Schizosaccharomyces pombe: one gene and its partner. Changing the gene in region 1 together with any one later gene gives a genetic interaction. Each region holds a gene or a part of one and is shown on either strand. Other genes may lie near its edges. The genes, in order: sst4 and ark1.

Evidence for each region.
Region 2: of sst4 (region 1) and ark1, extra expression of one impairs growth in a mutant of the other (dosage growth defect), as found in Schizosaccharomyces pombe (one study listed by BioGRID).

What each region holds. Positions count from the first base shown.
Region 1 is NC_003424.3:2,470,209-2,480,531, reverse strand, and holds sst4 (ESCRT 0 complex subunit sst4), read right to left. Parts: upstream 2,662-10,323; 5' UTR 2,414-2,661; coding exon 581-2,413; 3' UTR 501-580; downstream 1-500. Other genes in the region: C-22 sterol desaturase Erg5, read left to right, coding at 1-385; pbr1 (putative dehydrogenase), read left to right, coding at 3,436-4,566; U3 snoRNP-associated protein Imp4, read right to left, coding at 4,946-5,815; protein prl65, read left to right, coding at 7,630-7,671, 7,783-7,938; nonsense-mediated decay protein Upf2, read left to right, coding at 8,589-10,323.
Region 2 is NC_003421.2:137,089-146,880, reverse strand, and holds ark1 (Aurora-B kinase Ark1), read right to left. Parts: upstream 5,252-9,792; 5' UTR 5,220-5,251; coding exon 4,152-5,219; 3' UTR 3,843-4,151; downstream 1-3,842. Other genes in the region: signal recognition particle subunit Srp72, read left to right, coding at 1-671; nip7 (RNA-binding and ribosome biogenesis protein), read right to left, coding at 1,644-2,043, 2,206-2,292, 2,446-2,501; peptidase Atp23, read left to right, coding at 3,038-3,587, 3,654-3,661; serine racemase Sry1, read left to right, coding at 6,688-7,659; rpl2402 (60S ribosomal protein eL24), read left to right, coding at 8,336-8,785; DNA-directed RNA polymerase III complex subunit Rpc37, read right to left, coding at 9,132-9,792. UniProt on the Schizosaccharomyces pombe protein: Component of the chromosomal passenger complex (CPC), a complex that acts as a key regulator of chromosome segregation and cytokinesis.

The DNA of each region.
Region 1 (10,323 bases):
CCTCTATGGTGCACTTCACGATTCTAAGGTTTATCCAGAGCCAGAAACATTTAATCCTGACCGCTGGGCACCAAATGGTCTTGCCGAGCAAAGTCCTAAGAATTGGATGGTTTTTGGTAATGGTCCTCATGTATGTTTGGGCCAGCGTTATGCCGTTAATCATTTAATTGCTTGCATTGGAAAGGCCAGTATCATGCTTGATTGGAAACATAAAAGAACCCCTGACTCTGATACTCAAATGATTTTCGCTACGACATTTCCTCAAGATATGTGTTACCTCAAATTTTCACCTTTTGATGCTTCAACTGTTGACTGGAAAAACTCCAAGGAGGCTTTTTCAAATGAAGCAGTCTCTGCCGCAACTGTGGAGACTGAGAGCGCTTGATTTACAAATAACTACCCAGGTTCGGAGTCTATAGTCGTTTATTAGTTTAGTTTACGTATGTATTCACCATTCTGAATTTTAGGTTACAATTGATCAATTTTGAAAAACAAAAAAATATTAAAAGGATCGTAAACAGACATGCATTGTCGATAAATTGATCTAAGTATTTAATATGTATTATAAGATGTTTAAAACCTAAAGCTCGATTAAAGATGCTTCTTGAACTTCAGGAATATCATTACCTTGCTTATCATTGCCATTCATTAAATCATCATAACCAGAGGAAATTTCGTCAAAAGGCTCTCCAACTTTATCGATTGAATCAGTATTATAATAGTTGGTACTTTCATCGATATTTAATTTTGTATTCTTTTCACCAGATGCGGTGTCAGAAAATACAACTTCATCGTGTCGATTTCCCATTACATTCGCAGAAACGTCTGTATCCGTCGAGTAATAACTGGAGATAGTATCTTTCTGACCCATCACATCAGAATGACTAGGGGGATTTTCTGTTACCGGAGACGAATCGACAACGATTTTCGGGACAGAAGAAGACGAAGCCTGGGGAATGGTTGAACTATTCCTCACAGTGCTAATTACATCCGGCTCAGGTTCAATTGATCGGTTTGAATCCATGCTAGAATCAATATAATGATGTGCATACGTGGATGAAAGTCTTTGTTCTATTAGAGCATCATTCAATCGCATACAAGTTTGGAGCTTTTGCAAAGCTTGAATTAGCCCGTTATATTTACTCATTGTTTCACCAAGCGATCGCATCATACGAGTTCGCATAACACCCATATTTTCGTGGAGTTCCTGTAGCTGATATTCCGTAAAAATAGACCCAGGTGGTAGCTTTTTTAACTTTTGCACCAAAGTAGCATATAAAGTGATGTTATCAGCATCCGCAGTAGAAATTAAAGTAGAAGGATTATCACTCGGCCTACCAGAGAAAGGAGATGATCGAATATCAGTTGAAACGGTGTGAGCTGGAACACTAGGGTAAGAAATATTCATATTGTTAGGTGCCGTAACATTGTCATCCTTTTGAGATGACTTCTGTGCTTCCTCAAGGCTGATAGCAATAGCACGTTTAAGCTCTTCATCTTCGTCTTCTGTAAGATGTTGGTCTTGACTAATAACTACATTGGCCTCTGAAGGTCTTTCATAAGATGGAGGTTCTCGTGATTGAGGCATTTCTTTGAGGGAAAGCTCAATAGCTCTTTTGATATCTTCGTCTTCATTATTAGTTACGGGTTTAGAGGGTGTCTTTCTAGTCTTCGCATGGAATTTCCTTTCATTTCGCGCTCTTGATTTGGAACCTTTGGGTTTCGTACGTAATGAATAACAACTGTCGCATACCCTAACAGGCTGGTTAATTCCAAGGTGAGGAAGAGAAAGTGTTTTTGAAGAACATTGATTGCAAAACACGCCACCGCAATTTCTACAATGGTGTTTACGATTAGTGAATGTAAAAGGTGTACGACAACGAAGACAAACTTCACTATCTGTCCAATCGGGCGGTGTTTCAGTATCTAAAAATTTGCTAGTAATGTTCTGAGAAGGCTCAGGGAACTCATAATCACCGTCTTTTAAATTTTGATAAACATGAATAATATAACTAAGTGGAGAATTGGTATCTGGAACTGCCAAAGCCCAAGACTGAATGTATCGTAAAATGACCATTTTAACGTCTTCGTCTATTCCTGCAGGAGATCGTAGAATAGATACCAAATTATCCATAAACTCTCTAGAAGCTATTTCCAATAAAAAACCGGAACCCCCATTTTTAACGCAGGTATCTGTCAACTTCAATGCCATTATTTGAACATTCGGATTCGAATGATCAATTCGGGATTTAAGAATACGCATAGCAAATTTCGGATCAACAGACTTACTACGTATTTGATCAGAAATTTCTAAATATAATGAAATTTCTTCAGAGCCAGCAGGAAGCGTTTCCGATGTAGCCTTTTCTATGTCGGAAGCAAACTGAGAATTGGAATTCCACCACCGAGACATCGTTATGAAAATAGAGAAGAAAAGAAAAACCGAAATTAAGAAACAAAAGAAATCTTTTTATTATTTGTAAGCTAAATTGTCACCAAACAAATAACCAATGGCCTTCAAAAATTCCTAATAAACAAAAGCAGCAGGTGAAGTATAACAACTTTGGCACAATTCTTCTGATTGTTTGAAATTATGGCAAAATAATGTATTGTAAATCCTCCTTTCCAATAAAATTCAATTTGAGAAAGAGTTTGGTTCTCGACAGCAATAACAGATTGTTCGTGGCTCAAACTTGCTAAGTAATAGTGCGGGCAGCTTAGCACATCTCGGTATAACGGTTGATAGTGCAGAGCGGCAAATATAGTAAAGCAAGTATTGAGAGAACACTAATTGTCGTAAATATCGATGATGTTTATAGACTCATTAGGTAGATCAAGCTAAAGCGTGCAATGTAGTTTCAGCCTTTTTGAAGGTACCATAAATAAGCAAAGAAGGAAAACGATACCTCACCATTGAGTGCTGTACTTCTGGTAGGTGCTAATAAGACAGACCGTAATAATTTATATTTGCTATGCGAATTATATACTATCACAGTGTTTCTTGAAATATTATAAAAAATAATATGTCAAATGTTGTAGTATACACATACTTAATTTTCCTATGTTAAAACAAGTATTTAGTATATCTTCAAATTTCACATATATATCATATAAACAGTCTATTTTACTTTCCAATTTGTAAGCAATCTGTTTTACGGTCCATAAATTACATTATGTATATATACAAAAACAATTCAATCCTATCTTTGTCAAATTTATGGAGCTAGTTGCTATTAGTAATATGCACTAGCAGTCAAGCGATTAAATAATTGTACAATTAAATCCATCTAAAGTTAAAACAATTGTATAAAAAAAAGTTTTAAATTTTTGATTGTTAAGAATTAAATATGAAGACGAGTTTAGTATACCTCAATGTCAGTGGTATGTAGCTGCCTTTTGCCAACTCCATCAACAGATTTTGTAAATCAACGAAATATGCCTATTCCAATTATTGCTCACATAGCACAATTTAAGTATGAGCATCTAATTACACATTGGGCTCAATATACAAAGGCTGCGATTGCGGTTTCAACAATTGCGGCCTTTAAATTCTGGACTTCTGGACGAACAACAACTTGGGAGCGTAAAATGAACGGAATGGTAGTCATGGTCACTGGGGGAAGTTCTGGAATAGGACAAGTTGTCGTAGAGAAATTAGCTTCTCTGGGAGCTCAAGTTGTTATTCTACTTCGTACAGAGCCAGATCAATTTACTGTAGATTACATAATGGACCTTAGAAAGCGTACAAAAAACCAACTAATTTATACTGAAGTCTGTGACTTGAGCTCTATGTTATCTGTTAGGAAGTTCGCTACAAAGTGGATTGATTGCACTCCTATTCGTAGGCTGGATATGATAGTTTTGTGCAGTGGAGTTTTACTGCCTCCATTTATGGATAGGCAAACTACCGAGGAAGGTGTTGAGTTGCAATGGGCTACAAATTTCTTAGGTCCATACCAGCTACTTAGGATTCTCCGCCCAGTTATATATGGTCAGCCCGGGCACAGGGAAGTACGAATTGTTGCAGCTACCTGTTCATCATATATTTTAGGTAATATAGATTTCAACGATCTTGATTTATCTAATCATCCATATCCTCGAAAAAGTCCCTGGAAGGTAGTGGGAAATGCCAAACTTGCCTTGATGACTTATCTTTATGATTTTCAGAAAAAAGCTGAAGCTCATGAACGACCTGACAAAATGCCGTGTAATTTACATACCATCATGGCAAATCCAGGTGTCGTTCGAACTCCAGGATTTCGAAGAGTTGTATCCTTTGGAAAGGTTTGGGGATTATTTCTTTATTTGTTACTTTGGCCGTTTTGGTGGCTTCTTCTGAAAGGTACTATTCATGGTGCTCAATCATTTTTTCATGCTATTTGCAGTCCCGAATTTGCTTCGATTACTCAACCCGTCCTTGTAAATGAATGTTCGATAGTTGAATATTCACGCAAAGAAATTACCGATCCGGAATTTGCTGAAAAACTAATAAAAGCTGCCGATGCCCAAATTGATGAAGTTGAAAAGCAATACAAGAAGAAGAAAATCAAGAAATCAAAAAAATAGAAGTTTAGCGAAAAATATGGAATGTCATTTGGTTGGAATATTCACCATAATAACGTAGGTCCGAAGTTAAAAGGTTGGTATTTTTAAAAAGACAAATACAGTGCTTAAACTTTAAGCTGTACATAAACATTGCTCAAGTAAACTAATTAAAATATAAAAAAGGAACCCAAGTACAATCGCTACTGATATATGTTCTACTTCACTAATGTTTTGAATAGTATAACCATTAACCACTAATACTAGAAAGTTTTGCCTCCTTATTTATCAAAGATACCATTCACTCTAATGGCCTTGCCTATACATAAAAGAATTGTAATTATTTACCTGTATCCCAAATGAACCTAAAATAACCGTTTGACCATACCCATCATACCTACGCTCATTCAGCTAAAACATCACGTTTGTGACGCTGGTAAGGCTTCAATTTCCATTCCACATCAGCGTCTACCATATCAACGGTGCCGAGGGTAATTTCAAATAGTTTCATCTCAAAGCGAGGACCAGCCTCAGATAGAATAATCTGCTTTGGGCCTGTTTTGGCGTAAATGTGGTGACGGAAACTGATATAATCATCAGTGTTAGCAAATGTAACCACACGTGGTGTAGTATCTTTAGGGTCTGGAGGAAATAAAGCAGAAAGAGCTGTTTTAACGCGCTTTCCCAACTTTGAAGTCAAATTTTCAAAAATAAGATGTGGATACGCTTCTGACATGGTACCAGTATTAGGGATATCATGACGAAGAACCACGTTATGTAAAGAAAATGACAAGGTAGGACCATAAGGAAGATGAGAAATTACAAGACCATCAGGGATACCTCTGTGTTCGTGCAAAATGACTATATCGGTAATATCATTGGCACGAGCGGCTTCTACCAAGCTTCCGACAACGATATTACCACGATTGAGTCGATATGAGTTGGGAATCAAGAGACGTACTTCTTTTGCAAATTGCGCTAGACGAGATGAGGGCTCTCGACTGGTGGTAACTAAAACTTTTGGCTCCCTCTCACCCAGACGGTGGTACTCATCGTCAAGGTTGGTTTCTGTCTCTTCTTGAGTTGCTCTGCTTTCATCATATTTATAATCCTTTTGAAGTTGACTGTCTTCCTGCAAATCTTTGTTCAATTCTTTGTTACCTTCCAATGCTTTTCTTAATGCACGTCGTTTTTCATTGAGTTTTGCTTCTTGAAGTTCTTGATTTCTCTTATAAATGAACTGTCTTCTTTCCCTAACAGCACGACGAAGCATCTTAAATTATTAAATTAAAAAAAATTACACTTGCAGTATGCAACTAGCTGTTTGCAATGCGAAAGTTGTATGCACCTCGTTCTTAACACTAATGCCGAAAATATTTTTTGCATGGGGATAGGTCGCGAACTAATGTCAGCAATACTACACTACGCTATGATACACTACGTTGCGTATCACTATATGTCACATGTTCTAATTATATATCGTACCATGTATGATACGATATGGAGATTGATCTTAATGATAATCTATTAAGATCAATATTATCTGAATACTATAAATAGAGCTACTGCTGAACCTCGTTCCTCAGTTCAGTTATGAGCTATATTAGTGATAGGTAACATTATAACCCAGTTAATACAATACCTATACTCAGTTGCTACTTATACAACCTGTGTATTGTAATATAATAGACCACAAGGAAAACTCACCGCAGTTCTACGTATCCTTAAATCGGATACCAAACTGTGTAGCAAACACTTGTCTCAGTTTAATACTTTTTGTTCTATAGCGTTCATCATTTATATGTTCGTCTTCACTAATCAACTGAGCACGTATATATACGAAATGTGCGTATTTTAATATGATCATAAGTTTAGACTTTTAAATAAAATTACACTTACAACCTAATCGCATTATAGCACTGAAAATCTTTGTAAAACATTGTTGGTTAAACTACAGTAGAAAAAGGTTTATCCGACTAAGTATACTACTATAGTTAAATATTCTTTTCTAAAAATTTAATTGGTTTATAACTTATCCATCCAAACAGCCAAGTAGCTGAAGGCAGAAGAAGAGATATTTTAGAAAATTTACTATCCGTATTATTTAACTTTCACATCAAACGTTTTAGGGGAAGCAAAACAAAAATATAATTCACGAACCAAAAAAAAGAGTGACCGATTTTTTGAATTTTTAGAAGCTTTTACCAGGTTCTGAAAATGCTCGATAATAAACAAGGATAGGTAATTGAAGCTTATTGATGAAGGATTAGCCTTGTATGAACCCAGAATATTGGGAATTGGAAACACATTCATATAAAAAAGTTGACTATGACAATGTTTGTCGATTTTCCAAATTCTACATCCGTTTAATTACTGTTAGGATTGACATTGTTTTTCCTACCCAACTAAATCTTTTAAAGTGCGAAGTAGGAACACTGTACATTGATTCGAAAAGTTCACTAATGTTTTAAAAAATGCTTAGGATCACTTTTCTTATGCTGGTAGTAATGAGAAAGTCGATTTAATCTAACCTCGTATTTGCAACCTCATGAGCGAACTCCGGTCTCATCCAGATAACTTTCAATGGGAAAAATTATTCTCGTTGATGAGTAAATATGACGAAAAATCGTTACGCTAAACTACCATTGTTTTAAAAGTTGGAATGAATTAATATCTATCTATCTTTCAATCTCACACATTTTTTTTCTATACTACATTTCTATAGATATAACTTCGATGCCACGTAAAAAAACAAGACTAACTTGGTTTTCAATCACAATTTATTACGTTCACTATAGTTATGTCAATCGCCGCTTCTTCTCAAATGGAAGTGTTGGATGATGAACGATTTATCCATGTGTCTTCACGAAGTGATGAAACGTGCTACGTTGTACTGCAGGGTTGCATGTATCAGATTTCACACAAAAATTATCAAAGGCATTGATTACGTCTAGATGGTTTACGTCTTACTCACGACAACATTATGTGCAATTGTTTAAGAGGTTTAGTTGCCACTTTCATAATAAAAAAACTATATAATTTGGAGGTTTGCATACTAAAATCATAAATATTCATATCGTTTAAAAAATGACCAAATATTCTAAAGGAAACAAAGTCGAATACCATCCTGTAAGTAGGAATTTTTGATTCAGGCATGTCAGTTAAGTACACTGTATTTTGTGTACCGAATTGTGTCTTGAAGTTTTTCGACTGTGATTAAGTATTAACAAATGGTTTAAGATTGGTGGCCCTAGCGGTACCAGCACCTCAACAGGAGTTATCCAGCAGGTGATTAAAAACGATAGCGGAGAGGAGACTCGTTATGAAATATTGAACGATCATACTGGAAAGGCTGCTACCTACAAGGAGAGAAACATTTCTCGTATCCTAGACTAATGTTTTAACGATCTGAGCAATTTTTTGTTGAATATGATATTTATTTATAAAAGTGTTTTATTTATTCGAAGGCAATACATGGTTTTCTGAGTATTGCTTAATTACCCTTTCTGAGTATCAACAATTGTATTGAATTTCTGTTAGCACACTTAATAGCTTCAATAAATTGCTACTGTTACCTTTTTTTCCTTTTTATTTAAGATTGTTACACATCAACAGTAAGCGTAAAAGTGGAAACCGTAGATATATTTTCGTCAATCATAAAAGGTCCTTATCAAGATGATGCATACATCTACCTGTATTAACTGTTTTATTCTTCATGCCTAACAAATTATGTTTAAATTGTACCAATGCACAAACCTCCTATTGCTTCTAATCATCCCCAATTGATTTATTCCTCTAATATATGAAACTGCAGCAACAATATAGCATTTATGCAACTAAAATATAATCCAATACTGTTTATTCTTTTTTAAAAAAAAAAACCAGTATAATTTAAGATACTTGCCATAGTTACTTTACAATATTATTTCGTTGTGGAAGAGGACATGTGTCAAATTTATCTACTCACTTTACGCCAACTATCGTCGACTAGTGTTCTAAACAAGATATGAGAATTGAAGTGCTTTTCAATGCAATTTCGTTAAATTATGTCAAGAGAAGAACAAATAAAAAAACTTAATCAATATTTGGATAATAGAGAGCTTGCCTTCCGAGCCAAAGATGGTGACAAAAATATATTTCATACTGAGAGCCAGCTGGATTCTTCTCTAAAGAAAAATACAGCATTTATGAAAAGATGTAAGTCCTCATTAACTTCTGAAAATTACGATTCCTTTATAAAGGAAATAAAAACCCTGTCTTTGAAAAAGTTCATTCCTGAAATTACCGCCGCCATCGTAGAAGGAATGATGAAATGTAAAGCTACTAAAGACATACTGTCGTCAGTCAAAATTGTTTGGGCTCTTAATCTGCGTTTTTCCACGGCTTTTACTGGACCCATGCTGGCCAACTTATACTGTGCTTTATACCCAAACCCAGGATACTCATTGTGTCACGAATCATACTTTGAACTAAAGCAAAATGAAAACGAAGTTTCCGAAAAGGACCGTTCCTCTCATTTACTCAAAGTTAGACCGCTCCTTAGGTTTTTGATTGAGTTTTGGTTAAATGGTGTTGTTGGCACTCCTGAGGATTTCGTCTCTTATTTACCTTCTACTGATTCGAATGATAAAAAGTTTCGTAAGCCATGGTTTGAAGAGCAAAATTTAAAAAAACCCTTGGTGGTTCTGCTATTCAATGACCTTATGGACACAAGATTTGGGTTTCTCTTGTTACCGGTTTTGACATCTTTGGTGAGGACTTTTTCTTGCGAACTTTTCACTACAGAGGATTTTGAAGATAAAGAAACTTTAGAACTAGTTAATCGCCTTAATCCGGTTGTGTGGAGGACTTATTTAAGAAAGTCGTTGAATTCCTACGTAGACAAATTAGAGGTCTACTGCCAAAAGCGAAAATCTCTTTTTGAAGAATTAAACAAACAATATCAAGAGCAAAGCATTATAAGGGCAGATCCAAACAATGAAAAATTCCAGCGCCTTGCTAACTTTTCAAAATCGATCGAGTCTGAATTTTCTTCTTATGCTTCTCTTTCAGAAGTATTGAATAGAAAAGCTTCCGAAGATCTCTTGGAACTCAACTTTATGGAAAAGGCTTCCTCTGGAACTAATAGCGTGTTTAATGCATCAGGCGAAAGGAGTGAGTCTGCCAATGTTGAAACGGCTCAAGTTTGGGATGATAGAGAGCAATATTTTTTTTACGAGGTGTTCCCAAATTTTAATGAAGGTTCTATAGCTGAAATGAAAAGTAGCATTTACGAATCCAGTCAGGAAGGTATTCGTTCTTCATCTGAAAACAATAAAAAAGAAGATGATCTTAAGGACTCAACGGGCGATCTAAATACAACGCAAGTAAGCTCAAGAGTTGATAACTTCTTGCTAAAATTACCCTCCATGGTTTCCTTAGAACTCACGAATGAAATGGCCTTGGAGTTTTACGACTTAAATACAAAGGCATCTAGGAATCGACTTATAAAGGCTTTGTGCACTATCCCTAGGACATCGTCTTTCCTTGTTCCTTATTATGTTCGATTAGCACGTATTCTTTCTCAACTTTCATCAGAGTTTTCCACTTCATTGGTAGATCATGCAAGACATTCGTTCAAAAGGATGATTCATCGAAAAGCTAAGCACGAATACGATACTAGATTGCTTATTGTTCGTTATATTTCTGAACTTACTAAATTTCAGTTGATGCCTTTCCACATGGTTTTTGAATGCTATAAATTGTGTATAAATGAGTTTACACCATTTGACTTGGAAGTTT
Region 2 (9,792 bases), on another chromosome or scaffold:
CTAATGGAAACTTTCGTGGTGCACTATCTATCTATCAAAAGCTCCGCACAAGTTTGGAAGCGTCTCAAAGTTTATCGGTTTTATATTCTCCGGGCTTGGTTGGATTAGGCGATGCATTACACTATAAGATTCAATCAACAGGTTTTAAATCCCAATTACTACATGAGGCTGCTAACTACTGGAGAAAGCAACAGTCGTGTGAAGCTAAACTTCTTCTTTGTACTCGGTCTCTTCTAGCTCACCTTGATGAAAGAGCTCCAGTGAGTACTATTCAAGATGATATGAGTGTAATTGATGATTTACTTCAATGGAAGGGCCCAATAAGCGAATTAGTTTCTTGTAAAGTTGCTGCTCTTTGCTATCTGGATAAGGAAATTGAATCTGGTATGGATAAATACCTTGTACCCACTAAAGATTTAATTACAGGAATTGACGTGGACGACATTGAAATTAGAGGTGTTCCTGTTTCGGCAGCTATAGGGCCTATTAAGCGTTCTGTAGAAGCGAATTCGTCAAATTCTAGTAAAAAGACTCGGAAGAGAAGAAAACCCACCCCTAAAAGCTTCAATCCTAAGGCTACTCCAGACCCTCAACGCTGGATTCCTAAACGGGATCGCACCAATGTCAAGATAAAGTCGAAGGGAAAAAGCATGCAAGGTGGTGTTGCATAATTGTTGATAGATCTTTAAAATATTATTTTGTGAGCTTCAAATTAATGATGTAACCTTTTTCTCTATGTCAAAAAAAAAGTTTTTAGATATGTAGATATTGTGCTTAAGTCATTCTCATGAAAATGCTCACTTAAATTCTTATAGCGTCCTTACTCATGACCTAGTCACATTACTTCGTTATCTCGCTTCAATTTCTCAAATTAATCCTTTCTTCGTTTGATGTTTTGCAAAATTTTTGTATGGCTGTTGCATAAAGATTACACGAGCTATAATAAAACAAAGGAACCAACTGAAGAGAGTGTGATTTTATGATAGTAATTACAAGCTGTATTTTTAGTATAAACCATCTAGTTTAATTCAGTATTTTTCTTTAATACTGAATACGATTTTAACAGCAGGTTATACCGAGTCAACTTCTCTTATACATCCGAAGCAAAAGTCGAAAGATGCTAGGCTATTTTTAGAGGACGAAAAATACTTGCATAAAGTAATAAAATCAATTAGACTTAAATCATATAAATAAAGATTTTGCTCGCACACCGGTACATAATTTCATTTCAATTTCAAGCTACTAGTTAATTGTTTTAATTTTTAATGCTCGAGGCAATGAAAAAAAGATGGTTATTTATTGCCGGCGCATTTGCCATAATAATAAAATTTCCCTTTAGATAAGCTCATATTATATTTTTTTGAAACTAGAAAAACCACACAACCCAAAATGCCAAACCAATACGGTTGCAGTTAAGCCCAAAACCTCTTTAACCTTACAAAAGTATGTAAATGGAACTACTTTTGTTTAAGCATAAAGTCTCTTTTTTTATTTAAAAAAAAAGAGCACCAAATTCAAAAAGATAAGATTCGCCGCGAACCAGAGACCTTATTCTTCCTGCACACTCTACAAAATCAAAAAAGGAGAATGTACGTGAAAGCAAGGCTAATTATATTTTTTAAGCAATGTTTTCCGTTCGTACTCTAAAAAAGAGTATCTTCATCACGAAGATATTCACCAACATCTGCTTGATGGAAAGCAACAATAGCTGTAGGCTCAAGGCGTCGCAATTCAAGAGTAGAGCGAGCAGTTACACCAAAACCTAAAGGAGTGTCATTCATGGAATAAATAACGACACCTTGATGTTGAGGAGTGTCATCTGTGATTCGACCCACGTGTGCCTTCAAAACATGATTGCCATAGAGGAACGGCATTTCACCATTACTTTTAACCCAAATTTTATAGCGAGCGTATTGGGCTATGTAATCTAAAGCAGTAATATGCAAGCGAAATTTGTTTGTCTTGGTAAACTTGCCAAAGCAAATACCCAACGACATCAGATTTTGGCGAGCTACAGATGTAGCCATTTTCATTGCACGTTCACTATAAGTATGTTAACTTGATTGAACTAAATAAAAAAAAAGAATCACTCCGTCCTGCACTTTATTTGCGCTAAAATATTTGTTTCAATTGAAAAGGTCATTTTTTAGCGTAATTTTTGATATTAGGGGTAGAATGAATGGTGGCCATATTCAAAAATCTTACCTAACATAATAAACACGATCTTTTTGTAAACGAAAGCAATGAGGATCATCCGGACGGTCTATTAAATGAGTAATATTTTTTCCAATGCTAGTTTTACTAGTCAGTAACGCAATTACAACGTAGAAAATAACATAAATATTTCTTGTAGAGTATTAGAAGTAAAAAGTAATCCCAACACTTTATAAGAAACTCGATGGAATGAAATATTCCAAACACAATGAAATAGTGCAATGAACTTACTACTGAGCCAATTTTTCAAAGAAAGTCTTTGTCTCTTCATGAGTTAAAGGCCTCATTGTTTCAGTATCTATAAAAAAGACCCTTTTTTAAGATTTTTTTGTTTTAGGTAAAGAACAGAAAGAAACGTTTACTGCTTCATTCGAAGTGTAAGCTACCGTATAACACAAAGCGCAAATTATTTTACGCTATAACGTATAACGAGTACAATTTCTCTTAACTACGTTAAATAACGTTATAAACTGCAAAACTTTTGCGTTGTACTGTTTTATGTGAAAGAGCTTGCAATCTGATACACATAGCAGGGTTCAGCAGACTGTGAATAGGAAAAAAAGTCGATACTCCCTCACTTTGCAGTCCATGGGCTCGGAAAGGGTGTAATCTTTCTTATATATTTACGAAGAACTTCACTAGTGTTTTCCCTCTGTCGATCACTATTTTCGGGGTTTCGCCTGTTCATGCGAATTGCTACTCAACCACCTAATGTTGTACAGGTAAAATTTATTAATTGACATTTATTAGAGATATCGTTTGTTGTCTCCATAAACTCCTTTGAAGGCCTTTTTATAAGAATTAAGGAAACGTGCATTTAGATATGAGCGAAGATCCACAAAGTTGGTCGAAAGAGAGGAAAAATTGTGAGCGCGTAAAGCGCGCTTTAATGTCCCAATCTCCAGTAATTATTTTTTTAAAAACTGCCTTGGATCGTTTGAATTGCAACATTGAAGCTAAAGACATTTCTTGCCAGCCTTGTGATGCACAAAGTACTGGAGGTTACATTCCCGGTAAAGGGATAGTTCTGTGTGAAAACAGACTTTATACTAAAAAAATGGCAGAGAATACAATTGCCCATGAAATGATACACATGTTTGACGACCACAGGTTTGAAGTCGATTGGAACAATTTGAGACATCAGGCTTGTTCAGAAATTCGTGCTAGTAGTATGAGTGGTGAGTGTCGCTGGACCAAAGAACTTCGTTTTGGTAACATTAAAACTTTTCGGAAGCATCATCAAGAATGCGTCAAACGACGAGCTACTATCTCCGTACAAGGTAACCCGAATTGTAAAAGCAAAGAGCAAGCAGAAGCAATCGTTGAAGAAGTGTTCAATTCCTGTTTCAACGATTTCAGGCCTTTTGAAAAAAGTACGTTCGCTGTAGTTTTGTTCATTCATTTTTTTCTTCGTACTAACTATTCATTCTTTCGTCTAGTCTATTGAAATACCAGTTTACAAAAGTCAGATAGTTATTATGTCAACTCCCTTCCCCTCCCATTTTATAATATCCCGTACAGCATTTACGTTGGCTTTTAAAAAATATCGAAGCATACTTCTCACTTGTTATGCAACTTATTATGTGCTTGGCGTACTTTATCTTTATACATATTGTAACAGTTTTTTTGGAAGTTATTATTAGCTTGGCTAAAGTGATGATAAATTTTTAAATAGTTTTTATTAGGAAAATGAATGTCTTCTAAGTGATTTCGAAAAGAAAATCTGGAAAACGATTAGTTTATGGTGGTGATCCTCTATTAAATGAGTGTGTTATATTACATATAATTAAACCTCCATAACCCCCAAAGATCAAAAAAGTTCTGAAGGAATATAGTGAGCTGCGCGATTAAAAAGAGCGCTGAAACAAAAAGAAAGTAGTAATGCAAAAATGTAGTGAGAAGAAGGAAAAATTAAATAAAAAGTACCAAGATGGCGGTTAGGAAGATTCAGAACTTTTGCGAGTCCATGAATCTTTATATTTTACAATCCAAGGGTGCCTCATAACTTGTTCCAAACTCATTCTTTTTTCAGGATTATGCTGTAATAGACGAGAAATAAGATCCCGTGCATCAGGAGGAACAAAGCTTGGAATTTTTAAGTCAACTTTGGCGATACGCTTATACGTAGCTGAATGACCAGACATGTCCTCAAAAGGCGGTGCTCCCACCAAAAACTCATAAGTTAAGACACCCAACGACCAGAGATCAACTTTTTCGGTATGCTCTTTTCCCTCCACCATTTCAGGTGGTAAGTAATCTAATGTACCACATAAAGTGGTACGACGGTTAGAAGGTGCATGGACACTCCAACCAAAGTCAGAAAGCTTGATTTCTCCATCAATTCCTAATAAAATGTTCTCAGGTTTGATATCACGGTGTATTACATGCTTCTTATGCAAGTAGGATAAGGCGTTAGCCATTTGGAAGATATATTTAGACGCAACTTCTTCTGAGAATCGTTTTGCACGACGCAAGTGTTGATACAACTCACCCCTGCCAGCAAACTCTAAAATCAAATAAATCCTTTTTTCATCATGAAAGTGCCCATATAGCCGTAAAATGTTTTTATGGCGAAGATTTGATTGAATCTCAATTTCTCGTCGAACTTGCTTTTCTATCTTTGACTGGACAAGTTCAGACTTATGCAATGTTTTGAGAGCCACAATAAACCCGGTCTTCTTCTCTTTAGCTAGATATACCCTTCCAAACTTTCCTTTCCCTAAGGGTTTTCCAATTTCAAACATTCCAATATGAAATTCTCGCCATTGAGGACCAGCTGATGAAGGTACTCCAGCAATTGGCTCTTCTATCTTACGAAGGGAAGAATTGAACTTGCTATTTGAAGTCCGTTTGTTTTCCTTCCCATTTGCTAGACTAACATTATTTACTTGTCGTTGGTTTGATACTGCAAGTCGTAAAAGCTGTTGTCTCCCAGGATTAGCTGTGGTTGATGGAGTTGACACAGAAAGGCAATTCAAAGAATCTGCCAACTTTGAATCTGACATTATTTCGTAAAAAAACGCTGATGTTGGCTTTTGACAAGTTCGTCCAGAAGTAGGAGCGTTGTTGTTTACATTTTGAGGTAACACCATGTTTACTGAGTCTTAACACAGCCTGCTATTATCTTCCTTTCTTTCAAACTAAGAAGGAGGCTCTGATTCCCGTTGTTATTTATGAATACTCAAAGGGTGTTTCAAAGATTATTTACATGGAAATTATGAACGAATTTATTTAGCATACGAACCCACTTCGATTCTACAAATGTTATTAAAAAAAACGACATGTATCGTTCTCAACAAAATAAATAAAAGGAAAACAAACAGAATATTCTATATCATCCCAATACCACAGGCTTAAAAGTATATTTAGTATCTGTTTTTTATTCTTTTCAATGTGTCCACTGTTTGTTTACCGAATAACGATATACAGTGAACTATTCAATACTAGTTATAGAATACTTACAATATTAACGCTTCAGAAGGAGACAGTGCTAACTAACAAGAAAAGAAAAGAATTCAGTAAGTAGAGTAACACCAAAAGAAAAGGACCGAAAAGTGAATTAACAATTGTAGTTGATAATAAATTATCGTATTTCTCAATCAATTTAGAAAAGTACACGATAAAAAATCTCCGTCAGGGGGAATCGAACCCCCGCCGCATCGGTGAGAGCGATGAATCCTAGCCACTGGACCATGACGGATTATATAATTCTGCGATTGTTTTAGCATTAATTATCAGCTTTTTCATTCTTGATTAAGATTTCTCATAAAAAAAAAGAACTCTTTAGTAACGAGTTATATGCATAGTAATGTGAAAGTCAAAACACCGTTTGTTGGATATTTATTTCTAAACTGATTTAAGCTGCAGTCAAGTCCATTGCTGAGCAGATACAGTTTACAGAAATTAACGAGGCTTGGTTCAAACTATTGATATATTTAACCAATGCTGCATGACTGTTCATCACGCTAAAGGTAGAAAGACGTTACTATTCTGGCACTCAATGAGTCGAAACAATTGTTATACATGCATTTTCGTTATATTCTATGACACTCTTAACAGACTGTTTCTACATCTTGAAATTCTCACTATATAATGTTAACATTTATTACAGAGGAATACTACAAATAGTGATTAGCATTATACTCGCTATGCTACATGTCACTGTTTTATGAACTAGCAAGTTGGAGCTCCGTCCTGCTGTTTCATTTCCATTTGGTTCTAATTGTGTAAGTGTCTTTACAATTGTCGCCTATAAATTCGTTTCCGAGTTGGGCTCGCATTTTTTGACCTTCTTTTCATAGTAAAGATAAGATAGCGTTACAGTTGACGGTTCTCTCTATAAATGATCGAGAGCTCTGCTTGATTTGACATCTCTCATTGTCGTTAAATTCTTCAGTTTGCATTTTAAGACTGAATAGTTTACAGAATAAAAGGATATTTTCACTCTTTTTAAATTTTTAAAAAACTACGACAATGAGCGATAACCTGGTGCTTCCTACCTATGATGATGTTGCTTCAGCTAGTGAGCGAATTAAGAAATTCGCCAACAAAACCCCAGTACTCACGTCGAGCACAGTAAATAAAGAGTTTGTGGCAGAAGTGTTTTTTAAATGTGAAAATTTCCAAAAAATGGGTGCTTTCAAATTTCGCGGTGCCCTTAATGCTCTTTCTCAACTCAATGAAGCTCAACGTAAAGCTGGTGTTTTGACGTTTTCTTCTGGTAATCATGCTCAGGCCATTGCACTGTCGGCAAAGATCTTGGGAATTCCAGCAAAAATCATTATGCCACTCGATGCACCCGAAGCCAAGGTCGCTGCCACGAAAGGCTATGGTGGTCAAGTAATCATGTATGATAGATACAAAGATGATAGAGAAAAGATGGCCAAAGAAATTTCTGAAAGAGAAGGTCTTACCATTATCCCTCCTTACGATCACCCCCATGTACTTGCTGGTCAAGGAACCGCAGCTAAGGAACTGTTTGAAGAGGTTGGCCCTCTTGATGCACTTTTTGTTTGTCTCGGAGGCGGTGGCTTGCTTTCTGGATCAGCACTTGCTGCTCGCCATTTTGCTCCAAACTGCGAAGTTTATGGAGTTGAACCTGAAGCTGGAAACGATGGGCAACAGTCCTTTAGGAAAGGATCTATCGTACATATTGATACACCAAAAACTATAGCCGATGGTGCTCAAACTCAACATTTGGGTAACTACACGTTTTCCATTATAAAAGAAAAGGTCGATGATATATTGACTGTGTCCGACGAGGAACTAATTGACTGTCTTAAGTTTTATGCCGCACGTATGAAAATTGTAGTCGAACCCACTGGATGTCTTAGCTTTGCGGCAGCGCGCGCTATGAAGGAAAAGCTAAAGAATAAACGAATTGGTATCATTATAAGTGGAGGAAACGTAGACATTGAGCGTTATGCCCATTTCTTATCACAGTAATCATAATTATCATCTTTTTGATCAAATAAAAACCGTTATTTAACTGCTCTTACTTTTCGTGATGCTTACATGCTGCTAAATTATGGAAATGAGCCTATCTCGCAATTGATTGTTTGCGTATAATGAAGCAACATTTTGCGTTAGGAAAGGTATATAGAATTGAATGCTGGACAAAAAATTAATTCCTTTTACTTAATCTTTGAAAAATACCCTAGACCAATAAATAACAAACAGCAAGCGCTACGTTTCACAATTCATTAAATCCCACCGAATCACTGCTTTGACAAGTAAGTTTGCGATAATTCTAACTTTTATTATTCTTTTAATAAAGAATGTTTTAAACCTAGTAAACTTGCATTTCAGTTACAAATGTACTTAAAACCAGGTTTTTATTACTAGTACGGGATCATTATATTTGTATTATACAAATATTGCAGCAGCTGCCAGGTTCTGCTATTTAAAATAAACGCATTGTACTCCACCGAGTCACTAACGCATTTAGCCCTTTTACCAAATTAAGGCGTAAATAAAAATTGAACAGGAAGTGAGTCTTAAATCCATTAACGAGTCCGTCCGTAGTTAAAATATGAGGTTAGGGTTTGTGACTATTTTTTGAAATACGACACAACACGATACACGAAAGTTTAGAGGAATCGACCACGAACTACTAGGAAAAATGAAGGTGGAAGTTTGCTCATTTTCTGGATCCAAGGTTTATCCCGGAGCTGGAAGACTCTTTGTTCGTGGAGACAACAAGGTTTTCCGCTTTGTCAACAAGAAGTCTGAGAGCCTTTTCCTTCAACGCAAGAACCCCCGTCGTTTGTCATGGACTGTCCTTTACCGTCGTATGCACAAGAAGGGTATCTCTGAGGAGCATGCTAAGAAGCGTACTCGTCGTACCGTCAAGCACCAACGTGGAATTGTCGGTGCTAACTTGGATGTCATTAAAGAGAAGCGTAACCAACGTCCTGAAGTCCGTGCTGCTGCCCGTGCCGCTGCTTTGAAGCAACGTAAGGATAAGAGGGCCGCCTCCGAATCTGAAAAGAAGGCCATCAAGGCCAAGTCTGCTGCCAGCTCTGCTCGTGGCCAAGCTATTAAGAATGCCAAGGTTGCTGCTCGTCGTTAGTTAAAAATAAATGAGATGTTTCGATGCTTTGGTTTAATCATTGGAGTCTATACTTGTACAAGTAGAGTTTTTTTTTTGTTTGTATACCAAGTGAAATAGAAGTTATGCACTATTGTAGCAGGCAGTGTTTAAAGTGGTACAGTATTGATTAAGCAAATTGCATATAGCAATAAAAATGGTTGATATTAATTTCGTCAATATTTTCAGTCATCATGTTAGCATCTGTAAGTAAATACGACTTACTCTTGTATAGCAATTAATGAGAGTCATGTCAATTTTATCTGTTTTGCAATGACTAAAAGCAGTTTTTACGTGAAGAAATATATACATAAACGCATTGATTAAACTAAATAAAGGAGTAATCTTCATCAACAGCAGCGCACTCGTTTGGTTGATGTTCGATGGGACATTCTAATTGCTTCAATATTGACTCGGACTCGCGTTCTGGGCGACAGTCCAACTCAACCCATTCCTCCTCCTCTGTTGCTCTAACTATGTGAGTGGTGGAGACTTTTGGTGCTTCTGTATTTTGTTTGGCAGTAACCTGCACTGCGCGAATGGGTCCACGTGGGGTAGACGTACCAGACGAAGAATTTGAAGGGCCAGCAGCAGCCTTTAACTTTTGTGTATATTCATTTACATGTTTCATTGAGGGCCTCAGCTGCGTTAAACCGCGCAACGGCACAATATGAAATTGCCCGTCGCGAATTAGACCGACCATCAAATTGGTCCTTGGTTTCTGAAGTCTTCCAGAAAGTGTTTGGGTCTGAATTGGCTTTTTGCCGTTACCATATTTCATTGCCTTATCCTCATTATAGTATTTTGTTGTAGGAATGGGTACATCGACCTCCATCCAGCCAGTCTTCGGTTTCACTCGAACATCGATTGGTGCTTCACCATTTGCATCACTGTATGTGCGGTTTTTAGGACGAAGGGGAAATTGATTTAGTAAAAGATTATTTCTAAGTCCGGGTGAGAAAAATACCGGATATGTCCGCACCACTGGA